Linked DNA regions of Arabidopsis thaliana. The protein of the gene in region 2 interacts with the protein of the main gene of each other region in a biochemical or structural test. Each region holds a gene or a part of one and is shown on either strand. Other genes may lie near its edges.

The links.
Region 1: the proteins of ILR3 (region 2) and BTS form a complex in vitro, tested with the Arabidopsis thaliana proteins (one study listed by BioGRID).

The regions. Positions count from the first base shown.
Region 1 is NC_003074.8:6,266,109-6,283,359, reverse strand, and holds BTS (zinc finger protein-like protein), read right to left. Parts: upstream 9,395-17,251; 5' UTR 9,053-9,394; coding exon 8,723-9,052; intron 8,429-8,722; coding exon 8,219-8,428; intron 8,093-8,218; coding exon 7,898-8,092; intron 7,824-7,897; coding exon 7,462-7,823; intron 7,091-7,461; coding exon 6,862-7,090; intron 6,721-6,861; coding exon 6,552-6,720; intron 6,457-6,551; coding exon 5,224-6,456; intron 5,061-5,223; coding exon 4,889-5,060; intron 4,538-4,888; coding exon 4,319-4,537; intron 4,208-4,318; coding exon 4,070-4,207; intron 3,964-4,069; coding exon 3,729-3,963; intron 3,642-3,728; coding exon 3,582-3,641; intron 3,480-3,581; coding exon 3,408-3,479; intron 3,327-3,407; coding exon 3,186-3,326; 3' UTR 2,798-3,185; downstream 1-2,797. Other genes in the region: AT3G18295 (DUF1639 family protein, putative (DUF1639)), read right to left, coding at 1,360-1,437, 1,520-2,092; AT3G18291 (uncharacterized protein), read left to right, coding at 2,587-2,715; AT3G18282 (uncharacterized protein), read left to right, coding at 14,774-14,894, 15,005-15,159; AT3G18280 (Bifunctional inhibitor/lipid-transfer protein/seed storage 2S albumin superfamily protein), read right to left, coding at 15,968-16,330. UniProt on the Arabidopsis thaliana protein: Essential protein. Negatively regulates the response to iron deficiency and thus contributes to iron homeostasis. Exhibits E3 ubiquitin-protein ligase activity in vitro.
Region 2 is NC_003076.8:22,210,485-22,224,210, forward strand, and holds ILR3 (basic helix-loop-helix (bHLH) DNA-binding superfamily protein), read left to right. Parts: upstream 1-6,449; 5' UTR 6,450-6,785; coding exon 6,786-6,913; intron 6,914-6,956; exon of another isoform or gene 6,957-7,565; coding exon 7,566-7,628; intron 7,629-7,844; coding exon 7,845-7,922; intron 7,923-8,001; coding exon 8,002-8,164; intron 8,165-8,236; coding exon 8,237-8,509; 3' UTR 8,510-8,790; downstream 8,791-13,726. Other genes in the region: ATK3 (kinesin 3), read left to right, coding at 92-236, 312-421, 502-621, 703-906, 991-1,167, 1,253-1,327, 1,419-1,565, 1,647-1,785 and 7 more; GAUT12 (galacturonosyltransferase 12), read right to left, coding at 8,951-9,235, 9,321-9,623, 9,705-10,454, 10,553-10,608, 11,072-11,285; AT5G54700 (Ankyrin repeat family protein), read right to left, coding at 12,612-13,027, 13,475-13,726. UniProt on the Arabidopsis thaliana protein: Transcription factor. Plays a role in resistance to amide-linked indole-3-acetic acid (IAA) conjugates such as IAA-Leu and IAA-Phe. May regulate gene expression in response to metal homeostasis changes.

The DNA.
Region 1 (17,251 bases), on a different chromosome or scaffold from region 2:
GTGAAACCAATGAGAAACAGAGAAATGATGAGTAAATGAAAACTAACCTTAGTTTGATAGAAAGATGAAACTCTGCTCAGAGACTTTTTTTTTGCAGGACTGTCCCAAAGAAAGGAAAGGTTTAGGTGAACATGATGTTTGGAAACATTTGAGAACAAACGCATAAGTCTATGGATTAGAGGTTGAAAACTTCAATTAAAATAATGGATGTGGTGTGCCACTACTGCAAGAAACAATGGCTGAGAGAAAAAGAGCATAATGTCTAATTAGATCTCAAGGGTTTGAATAAATTACATTACCTCTACTTTAGGTGTCCAACGGACTGTTTATTCTTTTGTTCTTCCTTCTCTATTTTCGACAGAGTTTATATTGCTCGTGGATCGTGTACCCTCTTACTCGCCACACAGGCTGGTGACTGCTAACATTAGCCACATTGACGTGTTTTAATGAGATATCTTATCAGCCTGATCATGGCTTCCACCTGCGACATGGTTTGGATACTCTATAGAAGTGATGGTTAGCTGCAGAAAAGATCTAAACCCTGAAGCATGAAAGTGCAAGAAACCTTTCTGAAGATTTTTAGATCAATTAGCAGTATATGATCATCCTTGCATTATCTTGCAAAACTTAAAACTACAATGTTCTTTCTTTTCCATACAACAATCAATAATGGAACACCAAATCAATATTTAAGAACCTGATTGCAGCAAGTAACAAGTCTCCCAGCTCAGGTGTTCAATAATTGGAACACTGTTTGTAAGTTTGTAACTTGACTTACCAAAGAGAAAGGAAGCTGTCTATAAAACCTTGGGCATAGTGAGATGTTGTAAAAGGAAAGCTTGGTCTGACCCTGCAAAGTTGTCAAAATTGTCTAAAAAAAAGCACAAACACTATTTCTCAGTAAGTTCTTGACACAAACATGCACAAGAACCAAAAAGCTTATACAAAACACAGGATCAGAATTTTCTCATAATCTTAGCAAGATACTAATTTAAGTAACTCCTGAGCTGCTAATAGTAGGCAACAAGACAAACTAAATAAGGAACAACAATGTAAGAAAGTTGCAGAGAGCTGAATTATTGATAACAAAAAAAAAAGAGCCTGGAGATTCCATTACCATGGAGAGATTACAATTAGCTTTTGGTAACGGAAAAAAAACACACACCAAGATGTCTCTCTTTTACAACAAAAGAAGAATATAAAAGAAACCAAGTAAAATTGGCTTCTTCATTCACTAAAACTGAGCACATTGCTACATATATATTTTTCTTCCTTTTTTACAACGAAAATGACAAAGTAGAAGAAAAACAAAGTTGATACATTTTTCTTGGATAGAAAAAGAGAAGCTGACCCCAAATTTCATGTTTCCACAGCCTCAGGAACATCGTAAGAGTCTGCTGTTACTTCTTCTGCTAACCACAATCCTGGAAATAGAGTCTGCAATAAAGGAAAATTCAGAGTCAAAACAGAGATCAATTGTGTGTGAGCGAGAGAGATAGAGAGAAGAAGAAGAAGTTACATTCATTTGCTTCTGAACCAATCTGGGTCTCTTCTTCGGTCGTCTCGGAGGTCTTTTACCAATTAAGGCAGAGAAATCTTGTTCGATTTCTTCTCTCAACAAAGAAACAGAGAATTTCACTTTCTCATTCTTATTCTGCTGCGAATCTCCTCCATCTTCGCTACCACCTCTCTTAACGCCAATTTCATGTCTCCGTAGAGAAGAAGAAGACTCGATGATCCTGGTGGAATCATCACCAGGTGGTTCGTTACAAGCAGCTCTTCTCGTTCTCAAATTCCACGGCCGAGCAGCTGCAACAACATCGCCGTTGTTGTTGTCACCTCCATTGCCCAAAACGGAGAGCTTAGGTCTGTTGGCATCGTAGACGAGATCGAGCCTGAGCTCACCTGAAAGTCCTCCGTTGTGAGATCTATGATCGGGAGAAGGAGAAGAAGAAGAAGAAGGAAAAGAAGGAGATCGGTTGTGGTGAGGAAGCTTGACGCAGCGGAGGAATCTTTGCTGACCCCATCGGAGATAAGGTAAGGTGAAGTTATGGAGGCGTTTGGATCTTTCCGGTGGAGGAGGAAGCTCCATTGATTGATTTGATTGGTTTCTCTCCGCCGTGGGAAGATGGAAGATTCCTTTCTTTTTTTTTTTTGGTGAGCTTTCTTCTCTCTTTCCTTTGGAGCAACTTCAAAGTTTTTTTCTTTTTTGGATTTTTGGTTTTGGTTTGTGTATTTATTCTCACGAAATTTTATTTTATGTCTGTTCGAATTATTCGGAGAGAGAGAGTTAGGGACGCGATTGTAACGTTGTACTCGTTTTTTTTTTCCGACCCGTCGTCTAAAATCAGCTTCACAACTTTGTTACTATAAAATACGTCTTTTTCAAAATTTAGAGGAATGAGTGTTTTAGAAAACTAATTTTTATTATTTTCTGTTGAACTTTGATCGTTTAGACAATATTTTCTTATTTACTTTTCTATAAACTATCAATTAATTTAAAGTTCAATAGTTTTGAAGGAATTATGATGAATTATCAAGTATTTTTTTGGCTCTCTTGCTGCTTCTTCTTTCCATTACATAACAATGATGGGTTACGTTACGTATAAAAGAAACAGTGTTAGAAAACTTGCTTGTGAGGATTTCACCGCCCGCTCAGATACGGTTTGTCAGCTTTTCGATTTTAGTTTGATTTCTGATAGTACGGTTAAATAAACAAACTAAAACATGTCGTTTTCTTTTAACCAACCCTGATTATTTTCCCTCGCGAAAATTTAAAAACTCTGAAGTGTAGATTTTTTTTTTCTTGACATCAACAATAAGAAATAGTATAGTCAGATACGAAGAGTGGAAAAAAGTTTTCTATTAAAAATTGTTAACTATTTACACTCTTCAAAGAAAAAGTCTCAGCTTAATGCAAAAACAAATAGCGGATTATGTGGAAGAAAGAGGATGACGGTATGGGATGTTCCAGAAACAAACGAAATTTTTTGGCTTTGTTCAAGCCAAAATGTATAGTAAGGTAACCTAAATAAAGACTCTTCAAAATCTTAATATCTCAGAGACTATACAAAAAAAAAATCTATCAACGGGCTTCTTCACATTGTTGTGCGAAACAGAGGGTAAAACCCGAAAAAAGGAAAGAAAAAAAGAGAGTAACAAGTGAGTGAAACCTCTTGGTGTTTTCAGGATGAGGTTGAGCAGTCCGGGGGGATTGTTTCGGACTTGATCACCCGGGTATTGTAAGAACCACAGCTACCACATTTATGGTACAACCAATGGAACCGTGTAGTTCCTTTGCGTTCACAATCATTACATAGAATGTCCTGAAACATTTGTGTATGTGTGTCATGAAATGACTAGACTAAAAGAAATAGTCAAGACGCAGCAGTTTTAGTGTTTCTCACCTGACAGCGATTTTTGTATTCCTCTGGAAGTTCTTCTGCAGCTAACAGTGCATCAAGCATACCAAAATAAACCTGTGGAGTTCGCAAAAGAAACGAAGAAGAAACAGTTCAGTAAACAATATTTGCATGATGTGATATGCATGTTACACTCTTGAGGGGCGGGGATCATCTTACAGCCATATCTCCTAATGATTTTCCACAGATTGGACATGTGTAGTGACTGCAAGTGTAAGCCTGAAAGACCAGAGTAACAGCAAGTGTTTTGATTTTAGGCGTTAAAAGTTAATTTAAGTTTAATGAGAGAAAGAGAGATTTGCAAACCTGGAAGCAAGCTGAGTGCATGTAGTGACCACATGGTAAGGCTCTAACTGCTTCACTCGATGTGAAAAGAAATTCGCAGCAGATGGGGCAATTTGTCTCGAGGCTCTTCTCGAGGCACTTGTGGTTTACTAATTTCATCCCTAGGCAACAGTTACATGTCATGCAATGGAAAAAATCGATTCCTAGTCCTTCCCCGACCCGGCAAAGGTTGCAGAATGGACAGTGGTAAACGGCCCTGAATGCAGATAATTGTTTCTCACGGTTAGAATAGCTTCTGAAGTTTGATTTTTGACAGTGGTAAATTGATTCGTTTATGCATCAAACTGTTGGGTTTTGTTTACCTTTCATCATCAAAAAGTTTGCAAATACTGCAATAGTGCTTTGCCATTGGGAATCCGTCGCATGAAGGTGTTGTGCAGATGGGACCAACAGGTTGCACCTTGAGGCACCGCATACAGAGCATTTCCGTCACCAATTTTCTGTAATATGTTTCAAATATAAAATTACATATCACAGAGAGAGAAAAAAAATACGAACAAAGAAGTTTCAATTTAATTAGGGGAAACTGGCTTTAGAATATAAGATCTTACCTATCCATGGAGTGGTCGCTTACTTTGTCATGGCAAAACCTACAAGTGAACAACTGATCACAACAAGCAGCTCGAAGCTTGCAGTTACGCTTGTAATGCTCGCATCCATATATCTGCTTCTCGGGATCCCGAAAAGACGGGGAACATCCAAGTTCAACATCACCATTTACTGCAGTTTCTGCTTCCTTAGGTAACTTTTGCTGAGCCGCAATCCATCGACTGATAAATGCACCAACAGAAGAATTTTAAAATAAATGTTACTCTAGAACAAATAGGATTCGGGTATGAGGGACATGTGAATGAGATTATAGGTTCTCTATATCAGAAGATTGCTCAATCAAGGACACATATACATGCACAGTGGAAAATAAACTGAGCACGTTATTTTGGATTGGGAAACTGTAAAGGACAGGAGCACCACTTATACTCTTCCGCATTGCAAAAGAAGTTCAAGTAATACAGGGAAATGTATTATCTCTTTGGGGGGTTCTAGATTTATGTCTGGCATGCTGTATGCATGACAATGTGGAATAAAGGATCCATGCGTGGAAATAGTGAAAAAAATCTGACCTGGTCCTCCAATTCTGTACGAGATAATCTTTTCTCCTCGGATCAAGTGTTGAGTCCTGATAGACCTTCCTGATTTCAGCCTCTAGTTCATTCTGGTTCATGCGGAAAATATCTTTCCACCCTGGCTTAAATAGTTCACCACTTTGGTCCAAGATTTCTTGATGATCATTATCTATATGGAAAATAAACTTGACATAAGCAAAACAAACTTAGCACAGAGAAACTATAGTTGCCAGCTTAAGTATGAGTTATGAAGTCCAAAGAAGAAACATCTAAGGTTACATTAAACAAGTTAGATATTAAGTTGGTGAGAAATAGCTAAGCAATGCTTTTACCTTTCTGTGGACTAGGTTTGGATGTTTCTGTTGAGGATGAGTCGGGTGATCCTTTCCAGCATTCATTAAGCCATTCATCGAACATTGTGTTCTTGGTTGCCTGCTTCCAGGTATCCATCATTCTGTTTTGCTCATCTTCAGAAAGGGCAGACGTCACCCATGGTAACATAGATTGAAGAACTTCAGCACCCGTTGTTCCGATTATACGACCCACAATCTTGTCTTGCTCTTGAATGGAGAAGTGTTTGTCAAATAGAGGCCAAAGCTCCAGTTCCTCCAAGAAAATGTGCTGATCCAAAGTGATTTTAATGGATTTGCACATCCCCTGTAGCTTTGTAGCCAGTTCATTGTATTTCTTGTTGCAGTCACCGTTATCGATATCCGTCCGAACAGTGTCAGTTTGAGCTATGTCCTCCATCATAGAATCACTCTGTAACTTCTCATGAAGAATTGAAAGTTCGGTAAGGACACTATAAATATCTCCAAACAACTTCTCCTCCTGTTTATGGTCGAGCGTGTAAGAGTGACTGACATTGTGAAGTGTCTCCTTCGATTCTAGAGCTGGAAATAGGATGTCATCTTCTGCATTACTATGAGCCTTGTAGAAACCCCAGAGTAGGTGAAATCGACCGATAAATTGACGAATAAATGTTCCATCGCAATCAATGAGCTTTCCAGATTCAACATCAAGAAACTCTAGATCTTTGCTTATGGCCTTGTGAAACTTGAATATTGTAGCAACTGGCCGCTCAGCATGTCCAGTACCAAAGCTGTTACTATCCATTTCCCAAATAAAGAGGCTGGAATTAAGAGCGGGTGCAGCAGAGTTTAGCGAAGAAGATCTCATAGCTTTAGCTGCTGGAAGAGAACCAAGTTCCAGACAATTATTGTTAACTCCGAGATCCGGAACACAGCATGACCTACCATTTCCAGATGGCTTGCACCCATTTGCAACTTCTGTCGAGTGAGGGGTGGTTTTTTTTTCACAAGACAATACAGCAGTTCGCTTAGCTGGCCTTTTATCTTGATGCTGGCAACACGATTTTGTACTCCTACTCGTGCATGGAACAGACGCACAAGCATTACATGACTGAAGGTTGACTTCTTTAATGTTGCTTAGTGTTTTCACAGGGCATAAACCATTCCCGTTTGGAGACAAGCATTCCCCGGCTTTGCGTCCTTTGCAAGCCCAACCAGAGAAAAGAGTAACGAGAGCAACATCCGATTTAGGTGCTGAGGCCACAAGAAAAAGCATGTAATTATGCAAAATTGTGAGTAGCTAATAATTTGAAAGAAGGTTAAGTTTAAGGCAGTACAGTAGATAGTACCTCCAGCTTGCAAGTTCTTCAGAAAATTCTTAGCTTCATCTTCTGTTAAAGATGCCGTCAACCATGGCAAAACTCGTTCAATTAGTCTCAATGGCATTATACACAGGCTTTGGTAGAGAAGTTCTTGTTGTCTTTTGAAGCTGAAGTTCTTTCGTGCAAGGGGTAGCACCTGCAACCACTACAAGTTAGTTGACATCCTGAAATTGGTATCTTGAATCTTCATAGCATATAGTATCAAATGATCTTATGCCAAACTTTCATAGTTTCACCTGTTTACAATATCATACAGCACTTAAAAGCAATAGTTCACCTGAATTTCCTCGTTATGGAAGTGTCTTTGAATAGTTTCCATTATTTGATCAGCATGTGAGCACAGCTTAGTGTAAAATTCGGCAGCGGAAGTAGAAGAGGCTCCAGCACTCTTGATATTTTCAATTAAGCATCGAAACTCGTTAAACTGATTTTCTTCTTCATCGTGCTCTTCAGAAAATGAAAACTCTCCATCTACAGCTGGAAATATGATCTTGTCCTCTGCAAGACTGCACGAGAAAAGAACAGATCATCTCAAAAATAGTCCAATGACAATTCAATCTCTGTCAGAAGAAAAAAAAAGTTGTATGTAGATATGAACATTTGATAAAACTCTTTTTCGAATGATAACACTCTAATGCAGAAACGTGCTTAAGCATGAGAAGAGTAAAGGATAAACAACATCCATATCACTTGAAAGTAAAACACATCACAGCTGGCAAACGTGTTTTAGTGGCCATCAACATCAACTTTATAAAACAAATCTAGTTATTTACCTCAATAAATCAACATTGAATAGTCCCACAAAAGATAGCCAATAAACAATAGCAAAATTGAGATTATTCTGTTTTCATTGTAAATGAAAGGATACAACAAATACCTATGGAAGATGCACACTTCAGCAATATATTGTAAGCGTTCATCAAATGCCGATAAATCCGAAAAATCTCCAGACAGCTGAATCTTCCTAGCCTCATCGGCTATTTCTTTCATCTCCTTGTTGATTGACTTGTGCCAGAGCTTTATCTCATCAACTGGGTGCAGAGTATCAGATGAGCCAAAGTTAGTAAGCTCTGGGTACTTTCTCTTCCCAATCTTGGAACCCTCACATGCGCACTGTTCTCTACTTGCTTTACAAGGAAGCATGCTGCTAGAAGAATCTAGACAGCACTGGAACATAGAATCTTCAATGCGACACGAAGCCACGGTATTGCTTTTCCCTCCCAGCCAGGTGAAAATAACCTTCAAAAGGAAAATATCAATCAACAAGCCAAAGTCTTTCAACTTAGAAAGTTGGATCTTAATTCAAAACTTACCTGCTGAAGGAGCTTCTCGCCTGGAACTATCTTCTTTAAGCACGTTTGCATCTCCTTGCTTTCATCTACTGAAATGGAAGAAGAAATCCATGGCAAGAACACAGCAAGCATATTCACAGGAATACTGCAGAGAAACCGCCAGACTATGTAAGCTTGCTCCTCATACTTGAATTTCTCAATAAGTAAGGGGAACACCTATCAACAAGCCAAGAACAACCCGTAATTAATAAAGGCCAATGCGTAATGCTAAATATTCGATCTGTGTTAATAGAAAACAACAGAGATAATACATCTGTGATGTGAAGGAAAAGAAAAAAATACCTGTTTCTGTTCTTTCGCCAAGTGCTGGCTAACAGAAGTCTGAAGTGCTCCGGTAGAACGAGCCAACTCCCTTCGGTAACTTTCATCAGTTTCCGTGGCAGAATTCAGCAGCTCAAAGAGATGATCGAAAAGATTGCTTTCCCCCTTGTGTTCAAGAGAATATGTTTGCGCTACATTCTTCACACGTATGTCAAGAGCTGAAAATATCACCTACATCCACAGATTTGCAACTGTCAACAATTCTTCCTCATAACATAGCAATACAAATATGTTGCAATAGATTCCCTATCTACAACGCACTCATAGAATCAATAGGATGATCAGCAAGAGACTAATTGAGACTTACAATTCGTTTAAGATAAAATCAAGTCAGATTTACACAAATTTGCAGCTATATGTATTGAGTTCAAAATCCAAGTAGAGATGGTTCCAAATTCTAATTCAGCAGTTTTCAGAACATGATGAGATCAAATTTAAAAGAAGAGGACCAGGTTTTCGCATTACCTCGTCTTCGGCATTGCAGTGATGCTTATAGATGGATCTCAAGAACCGGTACCGTTCACGAAGCAGCCGGAGATCGACATGGTGACCAGTAGCAAACTCAAGAGCCAATCTATGAAGAGCTTCAAGCTCACTACATACTGCCTTATGAAAGAACAAGAAAATCAGGATCGGAGAAATCTCTTCCGCGTCATCCGAGAACGAATTCGCCACAGGCAACGGACGAGATGAAGAAGAAGAAGAAGACACAGAACTCGGAAGAACCGTGGTTGAAGAAGACGCCACTGCTCCGCCGCCTCTCGCCGTCTCAAAATCTGGTAACGGCGTCGCCATTTCCCCCAAAGCTTATCTCCGTTTTCGTCCGTCAAAAAAGAAATCTCAAACCACTTCTCTCTTTCCTTATGATTCGTCTACGACCTTCAATTTTCAAATCTGAGCTCGGTTCACCATGGGAATTATCTGGTGTTCTTCTGGTGTTTGTGTGGTGTTGTTCAACGGAGACGATGAGAAGGAAAAAAAGAAAGAAAGGTCGAGGCGTTGTCTGATATATCGATTTTGATTTTGCTTTTGCTTTCTTTTCTTTTTTATTTTTTGCCTTTTATCGTTTTATTAATGTTTATCTGGAAAATATTTAAAAAAAACTGTTAGTAGTATTATACGATCCTTGTAAATTTTTTTATAGAAAATGAATAAAAGTGCTTGGGGATTGGGTGGGTGTTTCTATACATAGGTTTTGTAGCACGTGGCCATTCACATCGCCACGTCGGATGCTGATGCAACCAACCCAGGTTGGCACGTGACCGATTACATCTCGACACGTGCAAGCGTCTTACCTACGAACGCATTTGGTCCGCGAGACATGGACGCTGGTTCTCGGAGTTAGAAGGAGGGACTCTACTGACTAGGGGCAAAAACGTTATGTAATTGCTTACGTGGAATTCATTAAGCTTTTGTTAAAATGAATTTGCTATTTTATATGTTTGAGGTTTAGCTTTTGAGGGAGCACTTTCAAAAGAAAAGATGAATTTGGCTTTGAGATTTTATGAAATAAGATAATGTAAGACAGATTCGAACTTGGTTTAAATATTTAGTAATGACTAATGACAGAGAGGAGATGTAGCAGCACCCGTTCGTAATCTAAAGGAGCCAAATAGCTAATTAGCTTCTTAATTAAACCATTGATTAAATTATTGCTTCACAGTTTTGCTTTGATTAATAAATGCAAATACAAAGGTTTAAACTTGTTTAATTGAGTTTGCATGTGCTCCAAGGTTTACTAGATTGAGTCAATTAATTTTGTGTCATTACTAGAAACAATTCTATTTCAAATTAGTAAAAGATAATAGAAATCGTGTTCAATATATATTCTTATGTAGAGATAACAAACAATTCTTTAGTAGATAATCAACAGCTAATGATGATCATGTTTCACAGTCGTGTTTATATTATGTATAGTCTAGTTAGTGGTACACCAGAAAATTACATTTAAACCTAAATAAACTTTGAAAAATGTTAATTACGTAAATATTTGGGAACTCTTTTCGATTAAAAGTATCTTAAAATTTCAATTTTGTATATTTATAAATCTATTCGTTCATATTTTATTTTTAAATAGATGATATTTACATATTTTACCAAAAAAACAAAAGGAATAGATTGATGAAGTAGAAAATGGTGGGAAAAAAACAGAGGACAAAGGAAGTGGTGAAAAGTAAAAAAAAGATACAAGAGGGGACGTGTGGGAAGTGTGGCGACAATTGGGTAGCAACAAGTTCCACTCGCGCTCTCTTCTCCACAACACATTCCTTTTTTTTCTTATAACCAAAATAAATAACATTTATTAGGGGACCAATATTTAACAAGTATTCATTATTCTTTTTCCCCCGATTTCACAACAACCTATTTATTTTATAATCAGAAACAACTTAATAATTCGCCGTTCTTGACTATAATTCTATAAAGAACAAAAACAACACGGACTAGTCAACTTATGTAAGCATTTCAACATTGTTCCACGTAATTTTCTACGGTAACCTTTACCTAATTTATATAGTAATTAACAAGAGATTAGATCATATATACTATATGAATATATATATATATATATAGCTTTATTGCAATCTTATAGGATCATAGATGGTAGGATTATTATTCTCCCTTCTTCAATTAATGCAACGATATAGGCATCTATGACCACCTAATTATGATCGTAAACCTAAATGATTAAAACAATTATACAATTTAAGACTAAATTCGATTGGTTGATTATTTTAAAAAATGAATATAGCTGTTTTTTTTGTTCCGAATTATTTGGAAATTTCGAGTATCGTGCAAGTGTACAATAGGCAATGGGTTGGCTTTTTGTGAATTGTGATCCATCAATATAGTGATCAATCTCTTTTCATGTATCCTTTTTCCCTCTTTTGTTTTGTTTTATTTTTTTCGTCTAAGGATAATGTTTATTTGCCTCGTCTCTTCCTTTTAAATGCATCCTTACACTTATCTTGTTTCAACATTCTATATTTAAGTTTTCGTTCTTACTCTATTTTTCTGGTTCCATCTGTTTTTTCCATTAGAATTGCCATTTCTGTTCATGTAGTAGATCTAGAAAAACATATCTTTCACTATATGTTTCTACCAATATAACTTGATTGAACCGGTTTTGCAATATTGGAAAAATTAAATTTCATGAAGTTTTTTAGGTCTAGATGTTTGGTTGACTCTAAATTTTTGCTAATTCAATATGAGACTTGTTCAACTCCAATTTAAATTAGCACTTCGTAAGAGGATACGTCAGTTTTCATTCCAAAAATCTGTTAAAATTTGACCCAAAAAAAAAATCGACCTTTTTCTGTATAAGAACTTTTACTTACAAGTCTACTTTACCATATATAATTAACAAAAAAAAAGGAGAGAAAAGAAGATAAAGACAATGAGCATATGCATCTCAACATATTTTTAAAGTTTACTGCATGTCTGCATATCAAAAGTGAACATATATCGTGTTTTCAAAGAAACTCATGAGAAAATGTTTTTATAAAATATTGTATCGTTAATTTTTAGCCTGATTTTTAAAATTAATTTTCTTTATATATGTATATATTGATGTGATTGGTACATCTTTAACATCAATCCCGACCAACACCTTCATCATTCATGTGTGTCTTGTTCTTAGTCAGATACATACAAAGCCGTGTCCTCTGGAATATCTCTTTGTTGGTTTCTTCTCTTTAAAATAAGCACACAATATTTGACGTAAAAAAAAAAAAAAACTGGGGAAATTGTTTTCAATACTCAGATTGCACTAAATAAAGATAAGACATTTCATCTCATATGGAAATCAATGCATAACGCATTACCAGTAATGCACTACCAACATATCAAAAATTCACTACAGATGAAATTATCAATATTTACTATTGAGTTTTCCATATATAAACTGTATATAGAGGACAGATTATTGGTAGCTTAACTGGTATTATTTTATGTTATATACTTGATGTGTATATAGTATATACATAAATATATCTTCATATTCTTAGTAATCTCTTAGCATCGGTTGATTGTTATATGTACAATATCTTCTCACTAAAAAAAAAGTAATTATGATTAATATTATAATTATTTTGAAGGGTAATATTATTGGAATATGATTTTTGAGACACATAAGACACAGCTTTTAATTTTATTGTATCTGTAATATTGTTATACAAAATTATATATACTGTAATATTTGACAAAGCTTTTGAATATACTAAACCATCTTTAATTATAAATTTATTAAATCTTTGTTTGAATTATTAATATATCTATATATATTTTATTTGACCCAGCTTTTGAATATAAAAGCTCTTTGGATATTTTAAAAAACCCTTCTATAAATTCTACTTCTTTTTAAGCACACGATATTTTCAGAATTTGGGCCCTCTATATTCGATCCAAAAAACAGTAAGTGAAACAAGACGCACAATTTATAGTATACTTTATCATCAACATAAGAGTTGTTTTTTTTGGTTAAAACATCAATATATATAAGAGTTATGTCTACATTCCGCCACTATATTATATATTTAGTTTGTATCAAATTAATTATGAGCTTACAACATTAATTGACGTGAATCATCCTACTATTTTTTCACATTGTTAACGAGAAATTACTGCACAACAAATATATTTTACACGACTAGTAGTGATTTTACTTTTTGCCATTTATATTATACAAGTGTGTTGTTATTTGTTAGTAAAAGTATTGGCAAATGGTGAAGTTGATCATGTTACTTAATTCATCATAAGATTGTTCTTCTTGTATAAAAAACAAACACACACACAAAATGTTGAAAAAGAAACACAGATTCGATGTTTAATGTTTTCAGTGCATTAGAATATTTATGTGAAACTACGTTAACTTATAGTTTACATCAGAAACGTTCCATGCCGTATTTCCAAATTGGAATCTCCATGTTTGTTACTATTTTGGCACTTTATAATTAAACTAATTATGTCAACTGTTTATTTAGTATGTCCGTACTTATAAAATATCAGATGCGTAAACAAATTGCTCTCCTTAGTAGAAAATAAAGATTTTCCTAATCAAACCGCATTTCAACTTCAACTTTATTTTTAGCCTTGTGAAAACGACAAAACCTTAATAGGTCCATGAAAGCGAGAGCGACCATTAATTATCATTTACGTTAACTCATGAATAATTGTTATTGCTTTTGCTTTTTTTAGTTAAACATAGTTTATATTATTTTTCATTTAAACCATTCTGTTTATGAGAAAAATTACATGATCTTTGGTCTAAGTTTAACTCTTAAGAATATATATATACATCATGAAATATATTTCTTGGGGTTAAAAATAGAAAGAGCAGTAGTTGGGAGAAATATTCGTAGGTTGGGGAAAAATAGATGAGATAATATTCGGAGGTTATGGATATGTAGAGCCAGCGTGGTGTTTTTAGTTAGGTCAAACTATAAATATAATATTAAATTTGATATAGTATATAGACTTTAACAGTAGAAAACAAAATTGATGTTTATGTTTACTGCCAAATGTCAAACGTACAATATTAAATAGCTACATATGGGAAGATAAGAGTTAGGATCGTGACTCCTTTATGTGATGAGGTATTTTCTCCAGATGAGGTAATTGGTTTAGGACCTTAAGCTAGAATAAATTTTGAAGTTTCAAAACTAATATTTTTGTTTATTCTACTTTGTAAAGTATTTGGCTATTTTGTTTCCCATCAAACAGAAAGAAGACTATGAGCAGTGGCCAGTGGACATACATTGTTAACTAAAAATATTTGACCTCATAACAAATGAAAAATTTATTCAGAAATTATTTAACAAAGAAAATCATATAATATTTTAGCATGCATTAATAAAAATAAAAATAAAAATTATTATTATCTTTTTCAGAAATATAGATAATATATATTAAACATTATTGTTTAGGTCCATTTCTTTTCCCTCTCATGTTCCGTTACTCTCTCACATCAGAATCCGAATTTAAAAAATCACGATCACCGACATGAAAAACCCTCGAATCTGATTTTTGATTTCACTTCTCAAGTATCAAAACTAATTATATCATGAATAATTTGAGCTTATGGTCATACAATTTCAACTCTAGTTGTACCCTTATCCATTCTTATTCTCATTGAGTAAATTGTGAATTTATTAAGGTTAAGGAGTATACCAAATCTTGATTGCAGTTTCTTTGCACATTTAACATTAAAGACGACTAAACTAAATTAGATCAAAGAGGAATAGATAGATTCAAAATACTCTGTATTTATCCATTTCTAATAATTAAAAATTCGTATACTTTATAGAATCGTTTTACCAAACCCAAAAGCTTAGTCTAGTACTTAATAATATCTAGGATCCTAGAATATAGTGCAGGCTCATTCACTTAAACATATGTTTTGATTCGTAGGCTATTTACTTCAATAGAAAATTATTGGGCTAGGTTTAATAGTATAAGAGAGTAAAATATGCTGGCCCATTTCACCGAAATTACGATTATCGAGAAATCTCTAATTTTGCGATGATGTTGCCTGTTTTTAGAGCTGCTGTCGCTCGTGGTTTGAGATCCAGTGGTGGGAAGTACTCTAGTGCTCTTGGAGCTGTTGGATACCCTAGGCATGCTCCAAATCTCACGTTTGGTGGTATGTTTCTTAGATTTTTGTTACATTTTGTATGTTTCTTTCCATACTTGCACTCGTTAGATTGGACTCAAATTCAAATTTCAATTCGTTCTCTTCCTCACAAAACTTAGAACCAGGGATCAAGAAGAAGCCTCGTCATCTTCATCTCATCCGCTTGAATCTGCATCCTTACTTGCGGAACACAGAAAACGCCATGGCCTGTACTACCTCTCCTATCAGAAGAACGACATCCACAATGATAGCATTGACGACAACAACACACTAAACGAATACCCACCAGCGAATGAGATATCGGTGGACTCATTTAACACTAAGAAAAAGATGAACCAATCAAAACTGAGACCTGTAGTGGTGCAACTGGACAAAGAAGATGGATTAAAGACAAAAGGACAAATTCAAAGAAATTTTGGCCGTCAGTTGGAATTGTATGTGGATTGCGAATCGCTAGAACTGCGGAACCTAATAAGATAGCAATTACAACCCAAGAATTAATAAGAACTTGGGCATGGACCTGCGAGACTCGATTAATAATGATGAACTTCTGTCTCGTACGATCCAGACTGCTCTAATGGGTCAAGGAAAGGAGAAGGAAAGAGAAAAAGATAATCATTCAGGGATAAAAAAACAGAGCTCGATAAGAGAGAAGACGAAGGAGAAGAAGAAGAGGAATGGGGAGAAAAGTAGTAAGCATAGATCACGACGACGAGGAGATGAACAAGTTGTAACAAAGCAAGTCGAAATCCTAGATTTTCTCTTATGAATACTAGTTGGTGTGTTACTGTACAGTGATTTTCATGTATCCATTGATTCTTTTGTGTTTTTGAAATATAATTTTCATATATTATATCATCTCAGTTATTACACCATCATGTATATATATATATATCAACAACAACCAGAATAAGATAGCAAAAATTTAAATAAGATGCATACAAAGCATCACCAAGAGTACCACTTACTTATTTAACTCTACTACTTATAGTGGTCATAAATAAACATCCTTAAACACACACCAAAAGTAGGATTCAAACATATATAGGATGATCATAAACAGCAAACACTTTTCTGACTTTTTAACACCTTGGGATGGGGAGTTTGCAACTTTTAGAGACTTTACGAGCGTTGGGAGTGCTGACGAAGCGACGGAGGCTAGGGTTTCTCATGTAACCACATAAGCATGGCCTCTGCTCCTTCAGCTTTGCACAGCACAAAGCCGATGGTGGAGAAGACGACGTTATCGCCGTTGCACATGGGCTTAGCTGCATTGGCGAGCACGTCACGGCTTCTGCCGCCGGGGCTAGAATCATTAGGAGAACCGCCGCTAGAGCAAAAAGGGAAACCATTGTGGTCTTGATCATCACCATGTTTCTTCTTGATCTTTTGTTTGTTTCTGAGTTTATAGAAATGTGTTTTTGGTGTGTTGTGGTTTTTGACATCTCCTCCTATTTATAGAGTGGGAAAGTGAAATGCTTTTTCTTAATTTTTTCTACTATATTAGTATTTTCTAAGAAGAAAATTATTAAGAAATACTATATGGATTATAAAAAAAATTATAAACCAGTATTAATCTATTGGTGCACTTGCTTATAGTGCGGCCTCTTATTTGTTTCGTTTTTCGATTTTTGTTTTCATTTTAGTTTAGTATTGGAAGAACATATATAATTATAATCTACAAGTTTGGTGGATGACCTTTGGTGTAGTTGTTAATAAAGAGCTCGATGCTTTTTTATCATGCATTCGTATAGTATCATGCCATCCAAATTTAAATCAATTTGAATATTGCTTATAACTAAAATAATTGCATTGGAATATTAACAATGTGGATGCATATTAAGAACTCTCGTGACTTTGACTTGATGAATATCATATGGGTAACATTGGGGAAAGTATTCAAAAAAAAAAAATGCGATACTAATATCTTAATTATATATTCATTTATTTTCAGTGTTTTCTTCTTTTAATTGTCAACGTTTTTAGTCTTTGTTCCCTCTTTTTTTTCTTGTTTTGAGTGGAAAGAAGCACTACAAATTATAAATCAACACTCAATATATATAACTTCATATATTTTAACTCCTCTATTTGTCGACCAAAAAAGTAACTACTTGATAAGAGTGAACATTTATACTGACAAAACACAGCAAATAGCCAAATACGATTATATTCATCCATGAAAAGAACTTTTTTTTATATATGGATTCACAAAAATAAGAGGAATTTAACAAACGAAAAACAAAGTGGGGTCGAAGTAGGAAAACTTAGGAGGCGAAAGAGGCGCCGAGGACTTTCGGTGATGGTACTTGTGTCGTGCCAATATTTGTTGCCGTCTCCTTTATCGTCATTATTACTTCAATGAATCT
Region 2 (13,726 bases):
CCAAAATAGTTTTGTCTATTTGATAAGCATTAAAGGACTTTGTTTATGTGTTTTTGGTCTTTTGGTTTGAATTTGAATGTTGATTTTGCAGGAGAGATGCGAGAATATGATGGATTATATAAAAAGACTTAGACTTTGCATTAGATGGTTTCAAGAACTTGAGTTGGATTATGCTTTTGAGCAAGAGAAGTTGAAGAACGCATTGGAATTGAATGAGAAGCATTGTGTTGACATGGGTGCGTTGACACATTAAAGTTTAGTTGTTGATTTTTTCGTTAGCAGTTTTTGAACTTTGTGCAATTTGATGACAGAGGTTAGTTTGAAAAACAAAGAAGAGGAGCTGAATATGATAATTGAAGAGCTGAGGAAAAACTTTGAATCTGTTCAAGTTCAACTTGCCAGGGAACAAACGGAGAAGTTGGTAAGAAGCGGTTCATTCTAGTTAAGTTACTTGTGTCTGATACATATTTGTAAGTCTTAATTCGGTTTGTTTTGCTTTAGGCGGCGAATGATTCTCTTGGAAAAGAGAAAGAAGCAAGACTTTCTGTTGAAAAGGCACAAGCTGGTCTCACAGAAGAGCTAGGAAAAGCACAAGGAGATCTTCAAACGGCTAACCAGAGGGTGAGAAAACTTAAAGGATCTGAAATGAGAAATGGATACTACTTAGCTTTAACCAATGTTCGTTTTTTGGGTTTTGTTCAGATACAATCCGTGAATGACATGTACAAACTGTTGCAAGAGTATAACTCAAGCTTGCAGCTGTATAACAGCAAGCTACAAGGTGATCTTGATGAAGCTCACGAGACTATAAAACGCGGTGAGAAAGAACGGACTGCCATTATTGAAAATATTGGCAACTTGAAGGGTCAGTTTTCAGCATTACAGGAACAACTTGCTGCTTCTAAGGTGATTGATGCTCTATCAATAGTAGTAAATGTTTATAGTTTTGGTCAGAATGTGATTTGGTGTCTTGTTTTTTTTTCTTGCTAGGCTTCTCAAGAAGATATCATGAAGCAGAAAGGTGAATTGGTAAATGAAATTGCGAGTCTCAAGGTAGAGCTTCAGCAAGTCAAAGATGACCGTGATCGCCATTTAGTGGAAGTTAAAACCTTACAAACCGAGGCAACCAAGTACAATGACTTCAAAGACGCCATAACCGAGCTTGAGGTTTCCTATCCTTTTATAACTTCTTTCAAAGGAATTCTCTGTCAAATTAATTTCTCTTAAGATAATGTAAATTATTTTGGTCCAGACTACATGTTCGTCCCAGAGTACCCAGATACGACAGTTGCAGGATCGACTAGTAAACTCTGAGAGGAGACTGCAGGTTTCATCACATTTTTGAGTTACACATACAACAAATGACTTTACTAGATTTCACAAGTTCTTGATACCATTCTTGATTGTTTATGGTCTAGGTGTCTGATCTATCTACCTTTGAGAAAATGAATGAGTATGAAGACCAGAAGCAAAGCATTATCGATCTGAAAAGTCGCGTAGAAGAAGCAGAACTTAAACTCGTTGAAGGAGAAAAACTACGGAAGAAGTTGCACAATACCATTCTTGTATAATCTGCTTAACTCACCTCTGCCACATTTGTTTCTTCCCCTTTGTGTAAGCTTGACTGATATCTTCTCATGTTGCAGGAACTGAAAGGTAACATACGTGTGTTCTGTAGAGTTAGACCTCTATTGCCGGGTGAGAACAATGGAGATGAGGGAAAAACTATTTCTTACCCGACATCCCTAGAAGCACTTGGCCGTGGTATTGACTTGATGCAAAATGGTATGTAACATAAACTTCTGTGGAAATGTGGTTCTTGCAGAAATGACACATTTATTAACAGTTGATGTGTTTTTGCTATGGACAGCGCAAAAGCATGCTTTCACATTTGATAAGGTTTTTGCGCCGACTGCATCACAAGAAGATGTCTTCACTGAGATTTCTCAACTTGTTCAAAGTGCTCTCGATGGTTACAAGGTAACTAAATCTGCAAATGGCAAAAAGTACTATGTGCGTTTCACTGTTTGTTGGAATAACTAAGCTGATAGAATCCATTTTATAGGTGTGCATTTTTGCATATGGACAAACTGGATCGGGAAAAACTTACACCATGATGGGTAGGCCAGGAAACGTCGAGGAAAAAGGTCTGATCCCGCGATGTTTGGAGCAAATATTTGAGACGAGGCAGTCTCTTCGATCTCAGGGTTGGAAATACGAACTGCAGGTATTTTTGTAGTCCTCTCTCTTTTAAGTAGCACTAAGTAAGATATATCCTTGTGATTAGAATATATGTATAATCCTCCTAGTTTTGTATCATATGTATAGGTATCCATGTTAGAAATATACAATGAAACGATCCGAGATCTCCTGTCAACAAACAAAGAAGCAGTAAGAACAGACAGTGGTGTTTCTCCACAGAAACATGCTATTAAACATGATGCTAGTGGAAACACGCATGTCGCTGAGCTTACTATTTTGGATGTTAAAAGCTCTCGGGAGGTTTCATTCCTCTTAGATCATGCTGCTCGTAACAGGCAATATAGCTGAAACCCGTTTCAATTTGACTGAACTAAATGGCCATCAAGATTTTCGATGAATCTTTCTGACAGTTGAAAGTTGTTTTCTTTCTTCTTCAGGTCTGTAGGGAAGACTCAGATGAACGAGCAATCTTCCAGAAGCCATTTTGTTTTCACGCTAAGAATCTCTGGTGTTAACGAGGTACTAACCAAACCGTCTTTCTTCTTACAGAATGTTTGTTTTGTGTGATAAACCAAACTGGCTTTTTTCTTTCTTACAGAGCACTGAGCAACAAGTACAAGGTGTCTTGAACCTGATTGATCTTGCGGGGAGTGAGCGTTTATCGAAGAGTGGATCAACCGGAGATAGACTTAAAGAAACTCAAGTACGTTTGATAGAAACATAAAACATGATTATGGTTTCTTGCAATTTTTAGTCTCTTAAACTTTCATTCTTTCTTCAGGCAATCAACAAAAGTTTGTCGTCGCTAGGCGATGTCATATTCGCCTTAGCAAAGAAAGAAGATCATGTACCATTCCGAAACTCAAAGCTCACATATCTTCTCCAGGTACCAAACCAAACCGTAAAAACATCTTTCAAAACTTTTGTTTCTTGATTTGTGGCATCATAATAAAAACTATGTTTGATTTTTAATTCAGCCTTGCTTAGGCGGTGACGCAAAGACGCTAATGTTTGTGAACATTGCACCGGAATCTTCTTCAACCGGTGAGTCTCTCTGCTCTCTTAGATTCGCAGCGAGAGTGAATGCTTGCGAGATTGGAACACCACGTAGGCAGACTAACATCAAACCATTGGAAAATCGGTTGAGCCTTGGATGAGGGAAAGAAAAGAGAGATGGATTTGAAGTTTGAAGCTAAAAGCTTCATTTCAAAGTTAATTATATGAATGTACTTAATATGGTCACAACTTGATGAAGAAGGATGGGATGATTCTAACAAGAAAACATGAAGACCTTTTGTTGTAATTTGTATAGTTTGGTTTAGCATTTTATTATCTGTTGTTTATGTAATTCTTTTTCTTTTGGATCATAAGTAGGATTTTGCTTGTTGATGTTCGGATTCATATTCATCTTCTGGGATTCAAAATATTTACTTCTCGTTTCTGTGACCAATCACCAGGCCTAGAAGCATAATGGTAGTAGTGTTTTGGTTACGAAATTGATATATGAATGATTGTTTATGTTTGGTCAGATTCAATATCGTATAGAAATATGAATGAAAGATAATAATTAATAAAACACTAAAAACTAATGTTAGTTATATTTTAATATGCTTGTAATATTTAGTACTTTTCGAAAACATAAAAACGTGAAAATTGACTAATACTATAAATAGTAAGAATACTGGATCATTTTTTCAAACCATGAAAAAGTGGTATACTTTTTTTTGTGTGCAAAATCTTGTTTCCATTCAGTAGATCAAGTAGTTACAGAAATGAATAGTTTAGCAAATTCAAAGTTTAAATCAACAATACTAAACGCATTTTTGAACAACAATAATAAAGGAGATAGGATATATAGACCGACGGTAAGATCAAATGGTTTCCAGACAATAGGTATGAACCAAATTGTCACATGCAAGCCAAAAAGTCGATATACCATTTATCTTTCCTTTTTCTTTCAATCAAGGTGTAATCATATATATCATATATGAAGCAAATTTGGAAATGGAAATAACACATAACAGAATGGGACATGACGGCATTTTTTGCCCACTCCGAGGAACAATGTATTCCATTGATCAACTTGAAACCCCACTTGATTAGCTGGTTCTAGATAAATGTTTGTTTTCTATTTAGGTTGTTACAGATTTCGTATAGTTAAATTGAGCTACATGTACACCAGATAAAATCAAGATGTTGATATAAGAATCATTAGATTCAATTTGACTTGAATGTGGTGTGTCAATTGTAAAAACAATTGTGATAGGGTCATACTCTATTTTCCCTATAACTATAATCTTGTTTTGTTGGACACTGGAGTAATATATATATATAATTCTGCAACAACTTACCAAAAATATTTGAAATCATGGATCATATGTCATTTTTTTTCTTCCAAAAATGATTTTGCCATATGATTAATGCATTACGCTCGTATGTTTGATAAATCTGGTTCGTCACATAAATATCACTTCGAAAAAATAACTTTTCATAGTTCATTATCGGTACATGTAAACGTTAATTCAATTATAGTATTTCATATGTTCCACCATCTCACTATTATATTGGTCATTTGATATTTCACTACTAAACCAGATAACTATTGTTCTTACCAGATTTCACACGTAATCATTGTATTTTCTAGAACATCGAACGAATATAGCCTACAAATATTATATGATTTAGTCAACTCCTGTTGAATTTCTTCTAAATATTGAGATAAGGTAAACTAAATAACATCTGAAATCATGGCAAAATTCATGCCTTCACGGAACTTGGGAAAAGAACAAGTCAAACTTTAAAATATTTGTGTAATTACTTGTTTATTAACATTTGTTTCAAAATATTGTACTCCAAATAGTCAAGTTGATCCATAATGCCGCTTCTGCATTCATTAATCAAACTAAAAGCAACTGGCTTAGCCGATCATAATTTCAAATAATAGTAGTGAAGAGTATAACAAGAAGAAAATGATAATCTCCTATGAAAAAAATAATAATAATTGATAATCTCCTTTATATTTTATAAAATAGAAATATAGAAGATAACAAGAAAACAAGAACTATAAAAATATAATTTAGTACAAAACAAGAGAATATACCTCACAGTATGAGTGGATATTCCTAATCAATAGTTGATAAATCTATTTATTTATCAATTTGGGTTTCGTTATATTCTTGGAAGAAAATAAGTTGACGCGTATAATTTGAGTACTGGTTTTAAAAAGAAAGAGGTGCTATTATATAATTTGGGGAAGATATTAAAGATTATATATCGTACATAAAAGATTCTTCTATTTTTTTTCTTTCTATTTCTTGGAACTACCGTTCTTAATTAAATTACCCATATATTGTTAAATTTTGGATTTTGAACCTGAGATGTCGATGGGCATCTTATCTTATTATGTTAAAAAGTTGAAACGAATAAATGGTCTCAATGCTAGTTGAGAAGTTTATACTTTTAGTGTGTATCTTAAAAAAAAAAAAAAGTTCGTATCTATGTGTATGATATATTATTGTTTATCAAATGTGCTAATACGTAAAGTATTATTGGAAATTTTCATGTATGTACGGGAGGAAGCAGAAGAATGTATAATCTCCTAGATCACGACCAAACGACCATTCCAACCATGTTCTCGAATATTATCGGTTCGTTCCAACGAACATGGTCACAAGTTTTCTTTATCAATTTAATTTGTTAAAAGCTAAACGGACAAATAGAAAACACATACTACTAAAACCAAAGAATATTGAAACAAACAAATTAATCAAAACCAGCTTTAGTGGTGTTAGATTGATAGGTCTTTAGATTCGTGCTTCTTACTTATTATTGCTAAGATAGTCGACACACACAAAAAGAAAAATCCATTCTCTTTTGTTAGAAAACATGAATACTTGCCACTATACCGATTTTGATTTAAAAAAACAAAAAGATTGTTAATGGACAAATTTTGTCTTTCTAGTGCATATTTACTTAAAAATTGAAATTATTAAAAAAAATTTAAAACGTATGGATTATATTTGACTATTTGTTTTGGAATTTAATCCAAAACATATGAAAATTTTGACCGTTTATGAAATGTTGATTTTTATTTTACTCTTTAACTCACACACAAACCACATACTTTAAAATTCGAATTAGAGAATTCACTAGGTTAATGCCCTGATTAGTTAAGTTTGTTGTAAAATGTATTGATATTTGATTTAATATATATATGATGATGTAACACATAAAATAAAATAAAAACACGTAAAATGAATTAAAAATAAACTAACAAATAAAATAAAAACCCTTGGTATGATGGGCCTTGGAAAGCCCAAAAAAAAAGGAAGAGTGCGCGTGAAAACCACTCTAATTTCTCTGGATTCCAAGATTCCCCAATTCGTCTCCTCCAACAGTTTTCTTCTTCTCTTCTTCTTTGGGTGTTCCTTCCACCAACGGCAGAAATCGATTTGGCTTAAATCTCCCCCTCCTTTCGATCTCTCTGATCGCCGCCGGGAACATTCAATTTCCCGGGAGTTCAACAAAAAAAAAACTCTCCGTTTTTATTTTTCCCCCTTTTTCACCGGTGGAAGTTTCCGGAGATGGTGTCACCCGAAAACGCTAATTGGATTTGTGACTTGATCGATGCTGATTACGGAAGTTTCACAATCCAAGGTCCTGGTTTCTCTTGGCCTGTTCAGCAACCTATTGGTGTTTCTTCTAACTCCAGGTTTTTCTTCTTACTTCCCCTTTCTCTCTTAAGTGCTTCAAATTAGGGTTCCGATCTGGTTTTTAAGAAATTCAAATTGATTTGAGTGAAATCAGTGTGATTGCTTGAATAATTTTATGTGGGTTTTTTCTGGTATGCGAAGGTGTATCGTTAAATCAAGGGAAGGGCTAATTTTGTTAAAGTAACGAACTTTGTGATTTTAAGCTTGTGTGATTGTTTGAGTAAGTTATAGAGAAGAAACTGAGTTCTTATTCATTTGAATTGGTTTCTATGCTTAAATTTGGGTTCTTTTAGCTTGTGTAGATATCTTTAGAGTGGGTGAAATGATATGTTAAGTTAGGAAGTTTGGCCTCAGGAGAGGATTTAGGTTTGTTTATCTAAAGTCAACTGTGTGTGCCTGACATGTTTTTAGTGTAACTTCTGACATGTTACTTGATTCGGGAATTGATTGATCATATATCACTTCTTGTTAGGTGGGAATTAGATTCCTTTTTCATGGATAGTGCTTTCACATATGAGTGGATGGTTTGACCTTAGCATGTCAATGTTAACTAATTAATCTGCTTCCTTGGAAGTGAGTAGTTGTAAGTTGCTACATGATTGAGTATAGATGTAATACTTAGTTGGTTCGATGTATTTCTTGTTGGTTCAGTGCTGGAGTTGATGGCTCGGCTGGAAACTCAGAAGCTAGCAAAGAACCTGGATCCAAAAAGAGGTAAGCTTTTTATGTTAAACTCTTTGTGACACACCTTTAATTCAAAAGACTTACTGAACCAGGAAACTATAGCAACTTTCAGAATCTATAACTTTGAGAAATCGCTATGGAATTGTTTATGGTTCTTTTGTTGTGGGGATCTGTATTGGCTCGCTTGACATATTTTGGGCTTGACAAGGTATCAGAAAAAATAATCTTGTTCATTCCATGTCTCAGGGGGAGATGTGAATCATCCTCTGCCACTAGCTCGAAAGCATGTAGAGAGAAGCAGCGACGGGACAGGTTGAATGACAAGTAAGTTTTAACAATTTTGTATATCCTTCCTTTACTCTTTAGTAGGTACTAAAATGATCGCCTTTTAAATAAATAACAGGTTTATGGAATTGGGTGCAATTTTGGAGCCTGGAAATCCTCCCAAAACAGACAAGGCTGCTATCTTGGTTGATGCTGTCCGCATGGTGACACAGCTACGGGGCGAGGCCCAGAAGCTGAAGGACTCCAATTCAAGTCTTCAGGACAAAATCAAAGAGTTAAAGGTGAAATTTGAATCCTCCTTTATCCCCATAAAATCATCGAATGCTTACTAGTTTCCGGTTTATGTCAATCAGACTGAGAAAAACGAGCTGCGAGATGAGAAACAGAGGCTGAAGACAGAGAAAGAAAAGCTGGAGCAGCAGCTGAAAGCCATGAATGCTCCTCAACCAAGTTTTTTCCCAGCCCCACCTATGATGCCTACTGCTTTTGCTTCAGCGCAAGGCCAAGCTCCTGGAAACAAGATGGTGCCAATCATCAGTTACCCAGGAGTTGCCATGTGGCAGTTCATGCCTCCTGCTTCAGTCGATACTTCTCAGGATCATGTCCTTCGTCCTCCTGTTGCTTAATCAAGAAAAATCATCAACCGGTTTGCTTCTTGCTTCCGCTTAAAAGAAAAGTCTCCATTTGTTTTGCTCTCCTCTCTTTCTCGGCTTTCTTAGTCTTATCCTTTTGCTTTGTCGTGTTATCATCGTAACTGTTATCTGTTGAACAATGATATGACATTGTAAACTCCAATTGCTTCGCGCAATGTTATCTATTCACATGTAAATTTAAGTAGAGTTTGGCAGATCGTCTCTCACTTTATGTGTTCTTACATTAATACATAGAATGTGGTTACTTCCTCGCCATAAGAGTTTGAAAGTACAAAAAATTAGAAACAGGAGAGACCGCAAAACATGATCCGGTAGAGAAGTGAAAACTCCACTGCAGAAAAGTTTGCTCCTATATCTTGATCTGTGAATCTCCTCTCTGGGTGCCAATGTAGAAAATGGTCTTGGTTTGTGTTATCATGATGCTCTAATGTGACAGCTCTTGATAAATCTGTCAGAAGAATCAAGATACTTAGCCCAGAGAGGACGTAGATGAGGAAATGCTATATCCAGCCAAGGCTTAGCTCTTCCATTGAAATGAACAACAGCGGCACTTTCAGCATCGGCATAGCTCGTGGTCTCTTGGTATCCGAGACCAAGCATATGCCAGAACGGATCTATGGTTTGGACATGACCGTGGAAAGCAATCAGCCCAGGAGGCAAAGTTCCCAGCTGCCACAAACTCAGGTCTGATTTTAAGTTCTGCAACACATACATGTAAATAGTTTTGAGTTAAGATGATTATTGCTTGATAGTGATTGTTGGGTAGTTAGTGGTTTCCTTTTACCTCGTCAAGCCAATGATAGTAAGTGGAGCTTATGTTAGTCCTCCTCCAAGCCGCTAGGTCGAAAACATTCATTCCATAAGCCCATGCACATTCCTCTGGATTGAAGTTTTTGGCAATTGTCGGATTCGAGAAGTTGAGGTAACTCTTGAACTTCTTTGACATCACAAACTTGTCTTCTCCTCTACATGTTTCCACTGCTCCATTTACTTTTCCATTCATGTCAATGTCCCAAAGAGGTGAAAGATCAGTTTGGATCACAATGTCATCGTCTAGAAACACAACCTTGTTTAAGCTTGGAAACAACTGCAGAAAAAAGCAAAGACTGTTATAGGTTTCGGGTCTAATGCTGTTGAGTATTCTTCACTAGTCACAGATCAAACTTACCTCTGGTAGATGAATACGGATGTGATTCATCAAGGAGTTGTATTTAGGGCTGAGAGCTTGTAACTTAGCAGCAACAACAACCGGGTTCTCTTTGTTATTAGCCACAATAACCGATGATCCACCTCTGAATTGAGACCTCACTCTCTGATCTTTCTCCATAGCTTCCAAAACGGGTACTTTACCTTTCGATAACCAATCGAAATGATGCAAAGCCTTGACCTCAATTATTGCTGGAGACAGAGGATGCAATGAGAACCAAGCTTGCATTGGGAAATAAGTTTTCCTATCCGTTATGATGTGAAGAACGATCTTATGAGGTCTTAAAGCATTTTGAACCAACGACTTAGCCACAACCGAAGCTGCAAGAATATTGTCTGAAGCCAAGACAAAGTGAAAGTAGTTGTTGTCTACCAACATAGGGACAAGCTCAGCTTCTGGAAGCTGGAGACGCGCCGCTGCGTTTATCGAGTGTTCGTTGGCTAGTTTAAGAGCTAAACAGTGAAGTTGTTTCGGTATGCTGCTTGATGCGACATGTCGATATAAATACTCTTGAATCTTAGCCGTTCTTGTTCTCTGTTCCATCAATGTCACCATTTCTTTTAGCTTTTGAGCAAATTCTCTTGCGTCTGATTTGCTTCTTTTGACTTCAGACATGAAATCTTGAAGTGTTTGAGGTATATCTGATCTTCCTTTGAGTTCTTGTTCGCTTAAAGGCTGTTCTAAAACTTGGTACATAGCTTCTGGAACATTCTAGAAATAACCAAAAACTTAACTTTTCACCACTCTGTTTCACCATAGTAAAAATAAATGCGCTCAATAATCTGAAACTGAAGTTAGAGAGGACTTACACCAGAATCAACCCTTCTTCCTAAAAGCTTTGGCTTTAGTCTTTTCCCCAAGCAAGCTGTAAATTAAAATGGTTAATTTTTTTTGTCAAATGTTAAAACTATGTGTTATTATGATTAATAAGTAAGTTTATCTCTTTAACATGAAATGTCTTTAAATATTTAATTAAGCTTGAACATAATACTACAAAATCAACGTGAAACAAACCGACCAGCTCTTGGATTTATTCACTTTTGAGCGTAAATCTCTAGTAATTATTCAACTTCTTCGTTTAGATTATTGTTTTACATGAACTAGAAGATAATATATTTATTTCTCATAATTGTGCATGTATATACACATAAAAAGTAAAATGCTTTTAGTATAAATTATATTGCTATTTTTTCTCATATGTTTTTTTTTTAGTGAGAATCGAATGTTTTGTCGAAGAAATCGAAATCAAGAGTTCACTATTTTACATAATTTCCGGATTTAAAAAAGAAAAAGAAAATGAGGGAAGTTAGAAGAAGAAAGAAACGTACCAAGAGAGGAGCAAGGAGAGGGATCGCCGTCGATAGTATCAACGGTGGAGAGAACAAAGACGAATCGGAGAAGAAAAGTGAAGAAGAGTAGAGAGTAAAACACCATTTGATAAGAGAATCTTCTAGAACCAACCTTAACTTTTATGAACTCTCTCAATCCTTTCCCTGTGACCACAGTCACATGTCTCAAGCTCGGAGATATATGTAACTGCATCTCTCTGTTTCTCCTCTGTTTCTTTGTTTATTATGTCTTTGTATGGTTTTTGTCTGAAAGGAGATGGATGTTCGAAGAGGGAAACTGGATCTTACGTTGTTATGTATTGTATGATTATTCATTAGGGGTCCATATCATTTACCTAACCTTGCTTTGTGTTTAGGTTATTAATGGCAGATCATAACTCTGATGTTTCTTGTGAATAAAAAGGAAACGTGTGTTGGTTAGAATTAGAAACACCACGGTTTTATGTATTTGTTAGGAAGCTTTGGGTTTTCTCGGTTATGCGCTATTCGGTTTTTGGTTCGAATCTCTAAGCTGGTGGTGGAATCAATATTACACATTAGTACATTACTTCGATTACTAAACCGATGAATCTGAATCTTGTTTTGGTTTATATTGGTATATGTTTGATCGGTTAGGTTATTTGGATTTATGGGGTTATCCTTTTTCTACTTGTAGGAAAAGTTTTTTTCCGGTGGACTCGGAATACCATTCAGTGCAAATCATGAAACTCTTAAAATGAATTAAACGTCACATGTTTATGATTAGTAAGATCTGAAATTTTGCGATAGTTCAACAGCTTCGGTTTAATTCGGTTCGGTTTAAGGGATTTGGATTTAGGATTTGGCTTTATGTTGAAGGAGAGAAGTTGGAGAGAGAAAGACAAGTCAAAGGCAATGCAAAACATAGATGTTAAAAAAATTGGGAGTGTAGATGAAAAGGAGCTGTTTGGTGGTTACAAGACATAACTTTACATCTAAATAAAGTCTTTGAACAAAGACATTGGAGCTTCAACTTCAGAATTTACTTTTTGAGGACTAATTTCTTGTCTAATTTCGATTGCGACCCTTTTCTCTTAAGTTATTCAAACTCGTCAGTCGTCCCCATCCAAACAAGAAGTCTTTGTAGTTTGTACTTCAAGACTTGTTGCCTTTCCAGTGTAATAATATTTGCAACTTGCAAGTTTCAATTTCTGCTAGTTATGGAAACTTTTTGGGCCTATGTCTACGGCCTCTATGGGATATATCATTACCAATCATTTTATATACCCGAACAATTTAGTTGTTTTTTTGGAATTCGTTGGTTGAATGAAGTTTGATTACCAAACACAAGGGATTTTTAGAGAAAACTCTTCTCACGACTCTTTTTATAAAAACCACATGTTGATACATCAATTGGGCCTCAGTGATCAACCGGCCCATTTCAAGGAATAACGACCCAGCCCCGACCATCACTTTAGAACTCGAGCCGGCCCACCAGGCCGAAGCCCGGCCTGGTCAGGATGTGAGTTCGGCTGCGTAGAAAAGGGGCACTCTCGAGAATTCACCTTGCGTACCCTACTATACGGACGGGTATAAATAAGGAATAGAAAGTCTCGGGAAAGGGGACTTTTTCGAGACCTGGAGAAAGGATAGCACAAGTCAGCTCGTCGGGAGAAGTCTGCTCGTCAAGATCAGCCAGTTCGCCCAGAAGAGCCAGCTCATCGACACAAGTCAGCTCGTCGGGAGAAGTCTGCTCGTCAAGATCAGCCAACTCGCCCAGAAGAGCCAGCTCATCGACACAAGTCAGCTCGTCGGGAGAAGTCTGCTCGTCAAGATCAGCCAGCTCGCCCAGAAGAGCCAGCTCATCGGTACAAGTCAGCTCGTCGAGAGAAGACATCTCGTCAAGACAAGCCAACTTAGCAAGAAGAGCCAGCTCACCAGAACCACCAGCTCGAAACGGCATCGCCTCGTAGCGCCCTCAACTACGTTCTCAGTTCGCAATAAGCCTTTCAGCCCGTCAATTGCCCAGCTTCAAGTTCAGCTCGTGGATTAGAGATTGATTCTTCACCTTCCCCAGAGACTCACCCGTACTTGTTTAATTCGTGCATTAACACCACACATGAAGGCTATATAAGTCACGCAAGCCTTCAAATCACACATTACAACCTTATAGAAATCAAACATGAAATAGGAAAACAAACTAAGAAAGCAACACAAGTTGCCCTGCATCACTAACCTAATTGTATACATTAGTCAATAATAGATATCTAACAAAATAAACTTAAGATATAGGTGCTCGGATTTATGATTTCCAATACATGACATAGCCTTTTCCCGTTGCGGCCTCCTCATCAGGGTCTCTTTCCGTATCTATCTTCCTTAAGATGTGTTTGGCCAGCTTAAACCATAGAAAAACATACATACCTCCTCGCATGACGATAGAAATACCAAGAGTGGTATAGAGTAACCATTTGGTTCCTTCAAAATGAGGTAAAATGATCCATCCCACTGCGACATAGGAAGTTGCCAGGGCAGCCACAGAGACTGACATCATTTTATGTGTTATAACCAAGACATTCTTGAGTGATTTTGGCTTGAAAGGAATAATGCTGACCAGAAGAATGACGATCCATAATGATGTAAACAACGCGATGCTATTGCTTACATAGAAGATCT